Linked DNA regions of Drosophila melanogaster. The protein of the gene in region 1 purifies or fractionates together with the protein of each later gene. This does not show direct contact. Each region holds a gene or a part of one and is shown in the gene's direction. Other genes may lie near its edges. The genes, in order: Elba2 and Elba3.

Region 1 (3,998 bases):
AAAACTGCCATTACGGGCTTTGACTTGGGGTTTGGCTGGTAGTTTTATGTTCTGCCGCGGGATTTCTTCCTGCAACTGAATCTCCTGCAGCTTGCGGCGTTTGATGAACTGTAGTGGAGTGTCGGCGGACTCGGAGGAACCATCCCTCTTTATGCCGTTGCTAATCCTGTACTGCTGCTGGGAATTGTGATGATTGCTCTGCTGATGATTCTCGTCGCCCAGGCAAATCTCCAGGCGATCTGAGTCCGCAGAGGTGCTCAGGCTGTTCAGACTCTCCGCCGCCAGGCGAATCTCAATGGCATCCGCATCGTCGGGTGCCGAGATGATCTTGTAGTCCAGAATCTGGGGATTCTGCGCGGGCGCACATATCTCTGAACTCGGTGGCGTGAGAATGTGGTGGCTCTGGACCGCGGGCGGCGTGGGTGGTCTACTTTCTGCCAGCAGGGAGGATGCCTGTTGCATCCTGGCGGAGGTGGCATGAATCTGGGATAGCAGATCCTTGTGCTGCTGCAGTTTGGCCTCCAAGTAGCGGACCTTATCGCGGAGCGCTCTGTTCTCGACCTCCACTTGCGGGTCCGGCGCGGAGATGCTGCGAAGCACCTCGAAGTCCACGCTAGAAGTCTGCGACCAGGCATTCAGAAACAAGGGCTTGCTCCTCCTTGCCTGCGAATCCTCGCGTGCAGTGGCGCTGACTATGCGCTGATATTGCTGCAATTCGATGGGAAAAACTCTTGATCAACATATTCGGTGGAGATATCCTGCAGCTACTCACGTTTTCCATGTTCAATCCTCAAAGGATCTGCGTCAACTGAAAATTGGCGGCAGAATGCGAAAAGTGGTTGCATTCCTACCTGCACGCACACATGCGCACGCATATACGGGGAAGAGAGCGCCTGCCTCTGCGTGTGTGTGAGTGTGCCCTCCAGGTAGCTGATATCCTATTCCTGTTTCTGTTTCAGGACCCCGTCTATTTCCCAACTAGTCCAAGTCCAGCTGTCTTTTCCTTTCTTCGCATGGGATTTGTTGTTTGCGCGGGAACCAGTATATGTATTATAATTATTATTATAAATAATTGCGAATAAAGCTGCTTTTGCTCTCTCTTTCATCGACAGGGTTGACACCTAGGGCTATGAAATAAAACTATCGGTTGCAAGTCACGAGGGTTTTAAATTTTTAAGTTCTCTCTATAAAGTTTTTTTCTTTTTCTTTTCAGAATATCCGTTTGGTTAAAATTCTGTATTCTGCACTTTGGCGAAGGTCAGAAAATAAGAGAAAAAAGTAAATGTAACAAAGGAATGTGTAAGAATTCTTTCCACAGTTCCAAGAACCAAAAAGGACAATAGTTGGGTTTTGTAAAAAAAAAACCGGTTTTCAGGACCCGGACTGCATATTATCCATTGCAATTTGAATGTATTGGGAACCCTTCCAATACATGAGATCCTTTTGGAATATAATTCTTCGCTCAAATGCTCTCTGATCGGAAAAAAAACACCCTTAAATTCCATTTTAGAAGGGATACCTATTTAAGGGTAAGTCTACTGGAATTCCGTCCATTGTAATGCATTTTGAATGAGCGGAAAATACACTCAAGGATATATGGTACTGCCTTTAAAATTTCAAGGCATAACTTTTTGAGTTAAAACATGTACGAGTATTTCGTATTTAAGACTAGCCTTCAGAAGCAAACGGTTTTTTAATCATGTTACTCCTATATTTCCATAAGAATTTAAGTAAAGCCTAAAGGCGAATATTTTAGACTCTACTTCCAATTATCGAATGCAAATTATCTTTATTCGGCGACCTTGGCAGCCCTGCAAGATTAAGATTTTCGGATTCTCAGGTATCTGGCGCAAGGAACAATAACTGTTAAGCCGGGCCATAAAACACCAATTTTTCCAACGAATAATACGCAAAATAAGCCAAGAAAGCCGACGCAGCTGCGTTTTTTGCCAGAAATAAACCTTTTTGCCTTTACCTGTTGCCAAAATCCGCGTGCAAATGGCCGGCGGATTTCGACCGTACGATCAGGACTCGTGTCCTAACCTTACAAATAGCGAGGCTCCGGAATTCAGCATGTCAGTCGTTTGCAAAACGGAGCCGCACTACTTTCATCCGCAGACTGCTATCCTGCCCAGCGTCCAGTACTCCCACCCATATCACCACTATCTGAGCCAGTTCGCCCCGAACTTCGTGCCCTACTACTACCGCCTGCTCTCGCGGCCCATAATGAAGCAGGAGGAGATGGACATCGAGAACTACATCAACTACGAGGTGGCCGCCCAGCAGACCATGATGCGCCAGCGGACCCTGAAGCCCCTGGGTCAGCTGCAGATCCAAATGCCGCCTCCCATAATAGTCAACCAGCCAGTTAAGCCAGTTCCCGTTAAGGCAGTGCCAGTCCGCCGAAGCTCTCCGCCCAAGCGACGCGTCATCAATGCCCAGTTGGTAGCGGTAGCCACCGCTTCCGGGGGCATTAAGAACATCGAACCGCGGGTGGAGCCACTGCCTCGCCTGGAGGAATCCTTTAAGCAGCAAGTGGCCAAAATCCAGAAGAGTCAGCACCACTACGAACAACTCTTTGGTCGTCTCACTTCCATGCTAAAGACCCTGAATCAGCGGTACGACAACGATGCCGAGGATGTGCCCGCGCCGCCCTCCAAGAGACCGCGCCACATGTCCACCAGTTCGTCGGAATCGCACATCCCAGATACTGCCTCTGAAAAGGACGAGAAAGACACTCTTGTGCAGTACCCGCACCGAGTGCAAAAGGAGGACGGCAGTGCGGTGTACGTACTGGGACCCAATGGCACCCAGATCACAGCCCATCAGTACGGTGAGGTCTTCTGGACCAACGCCCCGGTGGCCACGAGGTGTCTTCTTTGCGTTGTCTTCAGCAGCGATGAGTTGGCTACCCACACGCTGACCGGGAAGCCGTCGCCCGCATTCTACGGCCGCGAAAGACCCCCAAAGCTCCAGTTAGACCAACGCAAGGTGGACGACATCGTGGTCTGTGTGAGAAACCGGACGGGCGGCAAGGAACGGGTGATTCGGGCCACCATCACTACCAAGTGTGCGGATACCGCCAAGAAGTACAAGAGGCGGGCCAAGAAGGCCCAGAAGGTCGCCATCAAGGAGGAGTATTAGCATGGAGTGGACAACTATTGGCTAGATATAATCCAGCTATGATCAAGCTCTTCTCAACGACGCGCCACGAAAGGCGCAGAAAGACATTGTATATATTCGTAGTAGGTCCTGCTAAAAGTAAAAGTAAAGTTATATAATCTAGCTGTGATTGAATAAAGACAAGATGAAACCAATTCAAAACCTGAATAATATGGGAATAGGCAGAGTTACTTCACTTTTCTGTCCATTGCTAAAATTGTTCTTCGAGTGCAGAGTCAACAAAATTGGGTTTATTAACTCGATCGGGTGTTCTCATCAATCGCAGCCATTTGCACTTGAATTTAAAAATAATTATAAGCTATGCCACACTACTGCTTCTTCGCCTTGGGTTCCCAGGCCTCCACTTTGTTGGGTGTTGTGGAGTAGGGGTAGTAGGCCTCTGCAAGAGCAGGATTGAATTAGGGGGCTTACTTAATGGGAATAGTGCATAGTTACCCTTAGTTCCGGAAAGATTCTCGCTGTGGTCCGCTATCCACTTGTACTTGGGGCGGCATCCATCGCGAATGGGAGGCAGATCGGTCTATAAGGAAAAAGGTAATAACATGTGCGACAAGATGTAGTCTAAACCCACCTTGTAGTGCATCCAGCCGTACCACTCGGCGGGAATCATGGATCCATCGTAGTCCATGTTGACGTGGGGGGCGAACTCGATCCAGCGATTGCGGCCGTAGAAGTAGTACGGGTTCTCGAAGTACTTGTTGCCGTACTTGTCGATGCCCACCAGGGTTCCGATCTTCAGATCATCGTTCCTGGAAAATAGCGCATATGCGGTTTTCAGGATTGGAGCAATCTTATATAAGATCGAGACTCACCTA
Region 2 (3,955 bases), 2.1 Mb from region 1:
ACACAAAAAAAAGATACAGCTAATTGCGAGTGCAAAACGCTATCCAAAGAATTTATTCAAATATTTTTGAAGCCTGAAACTGCTCAAGAAAAGCAGAAATCAAATAATTCTCAACGCACCACAGATACCCCAATAAACTCGGAAAACTCAACTGGTCTACAATGCAGTAGAGAATGTAATGGAAGTTCTAGCAAAGACAATCGGAGATGTTGTAAGGCGAATGGATATGAAATGCATCTGAAAGGTGACCAATTCCCAACTGCTAAACAATGCTTAAAAGATACCGAAAATTTTCTAGAACAATTTAATCGGGTTTTTGCTAAAACAAAAAGCGAAGAAACACTTTCCGACAAGTCTAGAAATACTTCAGCTTTCTCTGCAAATCCCACGAAACAAAATGATACTGAACATGGGGTTGAAAACTTACTGGGTGAAATTGTTAAAAAACCCAAATCAAAGGTTTCCTCCACATCTTGCTTGGAGGCAAAGAGTTCCGAACAATCCAATAAAAGTGTAGAGAAGGAATTATACAAATCCTTTATTGAACAGCTTATTAGTCATTTCACAAAATCCAAGTCGTGTGAAAATAATCAGGCGCAGAATGCCCAATCAGAGTCCTACTCATTCGATCGCTTACTGCCGGAATTCGTAAAAATGTTTACGAGATCCAACAGCCTCGAGGAGGACAGACCCAAAAAAGTGAGCATATCAGAGAAGAAAACCATTTTGGGTGCCAATCCGATGACCAGCTTCAATTGTTCGAAAACTCCTCATAATATTAAATCCACTGCACTGAAATCGGAACTTAAGACGTCGGATATGGAATTGGATGCGAACGGACGTAGGGGTTCCTGTCAACTAGAAGGAGAATCTAAACCAAGTGCAATTTTTAGGAACACCCAGCGGATGAATAACCCGCCACGTGGTTGTCAATACTGTGGCGATGGCAGTCTGCCCATTCTGGATTCCTTGATGGATGAAATATTTCGGCTAATTGGGCAGCGGCCCTTCGATGACGTGGTCCTTACCATACTGCGTCAAGAGGATAATGTCTACCACATCAAGGTGCGTGAGATGGCAACCGGCAAGGACCTAGGCTGCATTCTGGGAAGTGGGAGGGCCATCAACCAAGCTATCGGGATAGGATTATTCGAGGACATTCCCACGTTCTGTGAGCTGGACAAAAACAGGCAGTACGATCCCAGGGACTGTCCACTGGACGAACTTTGCCGTCGGCAGTGCGGCGGTGAGATTGCACCAGATGGAAGTGCCGACAAGGAAAGGGTCGTCGAATTTTGCACTCGTGTGCTCGGTCTGCCCGCTGGACAAGCGTCCCGCTTCTTCTCCGTGACCAATGCCCTCAAAATGGGAAATCGAGAACTAACTGGCCGAGGAGCGGTCACTAGTAGCTTGGTTGACAATTTTTCTTCTAAGGATTTGAGCGATGTGGCCAAGACATCCAGTTTATTCCTACGCATTATTTCTGGCCAGTGTAATGACGTTCAAGATGATGAATAGGATTCATCATATGGGTTCGATAGCCATAATGCACTTTAGCTTTCATACCATTTAAATTTCCCTTAAGACTTTGTAACAACATTTTTCTAGAATTTTTTTTTATGAAAATATATTGTCTTATTTTATTAAATTATTTTCCTATGTAGAAATGTCGCAAACTTGCAATTCGCATTTATTGCCACTAAGCAGCTGCACATTGGGAAAATCCGCTCAATCAGCGTCCTTCGCAGGTAATACACAATTAGAACATTAGATCCCAGTATGAGCCGGACCAAGTTTTAATCCCTTCGAACTGACAGATGTTAGACATTAGAAAGCCTAGATAAAAGTATGGAGTTTACGGCAGGTAGAACCATTTAACTAAACCCATTTACATCTATAAAATAGCTTGCAGCGAGGAGGAGTTCATCAGTTTGCCAAGAACTCTTCACCTATCAAGACATTCAAACAAGACGCGTAGAAAAGAACCAAAGCCAAGCCAATTATATCAATTAAAACTTTGTTCAAATCTTTTCCGAACATATTTAAAACACATCCGCCATCATGAGCAACATCAGCAACGACAGTGGATTGGATGACTCCGCGAACAGTGGAGCCGTTGTCAGCGCCAATGGACCATTGGCAGCGACTCGGTTATCCTGGTTCCTGGCCGAAGTCGATGACGGCTTGATGAAGGATGGGAAGCCAAATGGTCGACGCCGTCTCTGCGTTCTCCATTCGATGGAACTCCTAGAGTCAGATGTTTCAGACAAATACATGACCCGATTCGTAGAATTCCGGGTCAATGGAATGGTGCTGGAGGCGAAACTCATACTGGCAGCGGATGAGAGGCGCCTGGTGGATGCAGCATTGCTGTCCATGAGCAAGGAGGAGAGGGAAGATGCCGGCGGCCAGCAACTGTTGGTCCAGTACACCGAGAATGAAAAGGCGGGCGAGCGCCTCATCCAGAAACTTGTTTCTCCAAACAATGTAATGCTGCTGAGCACCAAGCCCGAGCTGAAGGGTAATCCTCTGGTGAGGTTGGCTCCCGGCTGCATTGCCCACATCCTATATGCCTACGAAAGTCGTGATTATATGGAAAAGATACTACTGCACCTGAAAGCGCGAAGCTTTGATCTCGCCTTCGATGATAATTTGGAAGCTGAACCGGAGGCCATGAATGATGACACTTGGATGCTGGTGCAATACAGTCCCGAACCGGAGATGGTGGTATACCAGGTGGTGCAGTACAGACAAACCGTGTGGAGGAAAGAGAATCTCTTTAAGGACGTTATTGCCTACATGCAACTTCCTGGTAGCGACATCGTCCTCCAGGCGGTGGTCATCAGCTATGGCCAGGACAAAGAGGTCCAGGACGCGAAGTATGAGGAGTTGCAACGATTCTCTTTTGATATTGACTTTCCACTGCCCGAAGAACTGGAGAAGCACCCCGATCACATGACGTCCACCGCCCTCTTCTCGCGAACCAGCTTGTATCAGAAGGCGGAGCAGCGGGACACTACTGGAGAGCACAGGGAGTTGCGAAAAAGTCTGGAACAGATGAGCGAAAAGGCGCAGGGCGAGGCCCAAATGATCATAGATGCCTTCGACATGGTGGACAATATCAACAAGAATCTGCAGAGTCGTTTGTCCGGAGAGGTGCGATCGGTAGTGGAGGTCACATCCGGAGACGAACTTCATTAGTTGGCAAACACATCACATTTTCTTTATACATATATAGTCTACTAAGTTTCGTTGAAAGTTTAAAACTTAAATGGTAAATATTATTAGGCTAGAATTAAATACTAATTGTAAACTATATGTTTAGGTAATTTGAATAAATATATAAAGATCTGCAAATGATAAACGTATAAATATTTCTGTTTTTCACGTTTTATTCTGATTTTCGACATGTTAAACATGTTAAATATAAATATTTAAATTGACATATTTGTAAAAACAAGAAAAAAATATATTAAAATGGGGCAGTGCACTGGGGTGCAGGCGGGTGGGGGGCATGATCAAACGCAAGCATGTATGGTGCGTTGTGTACAATTATCAAAACGTGCATCATGACCGACGGCGGACCAACTCGTGGTTGTTGGACGAAAACGAACGATCCTGTCTGATGTATCATCAAAGGATTAGGCATCAACGGCCGGGTGGGTTCCATCCATCTAGAGGGCCCGAAAACAGGTGGCTGCTGTGCTGTTACGTTAACCGGACGAGGATCGGCCACCGGTGGTGGTGGCATCGAGGGAGCCGTACCAGGCATCGGGTCAGGGACGAATCCTTGCTGATCACCTTGTACCGACTGTCTCCCCATTTGGCTATTGTGGAGACGTTGGGGCCGCTTGCGAGCAAAGTCCCAGGCCTTGAATTCATCTGGTGGCAGTGGATGTAGATTATCGGAGGGCACATCAACCAGTTTTCCCTGCTCCTCGATAAACACTTTACA

Evidence for each region.
Region 2: the proteins of Elba2 (region 1) and Elba3 fractionate together in Drosophila melanogaster (co-fractionation; one study listed by BioGRID). This does not show direct contact.

What each region holds. Positions count from the first base shown.
Region 1 is NT_033779.5:2,575,865-2,579,862, forward strand, and holds Elba2 (early boundary activity 2), read left to right. Parts: upstream 1-1,822; 5' UTR 1,823-1,998; coding exon 1,999-3,144; 3' UTR 3,145-3,315; downstream 3,316-3,998. Other genes in the region: insv (insensitive), read right to left, coding at 1-708, 773-781; ND-B17.2 (NADH dehydrogenase (ubiquinone) B17.2 subunit), read right to left, coding at 3,492-3,562, 3,619-3,703, 3,755-3,932, 3,996-3,998. UniProt on the Drosophila melanogaster protein: The heterotrimeric Elba complex is required for chromatin domain boundary function during early embryogenesis.
Region 2 is NT_033779.5:4,685,588-4,689,542, forward strand, and holds Elba3 (early boundary activity 3), read left to right. Parts: upstream 1-1,923; 5' UTR 1,924-2,061; coding exon 2,062-3,201; 3' UTR 3,202-3,369; downstream 3,370-3,955. Other genes in the region: CG11929 (uncharacterized protein), read left to right, coding at 1-1,518; CG3251 (uncharacterized protein), read right to left, coding at 3,473-3,955. UniProt on the Drosophila melanogaster protein: The heterotrimeric Elba complex is required for chromatin domain boundary function during early embryogenesis.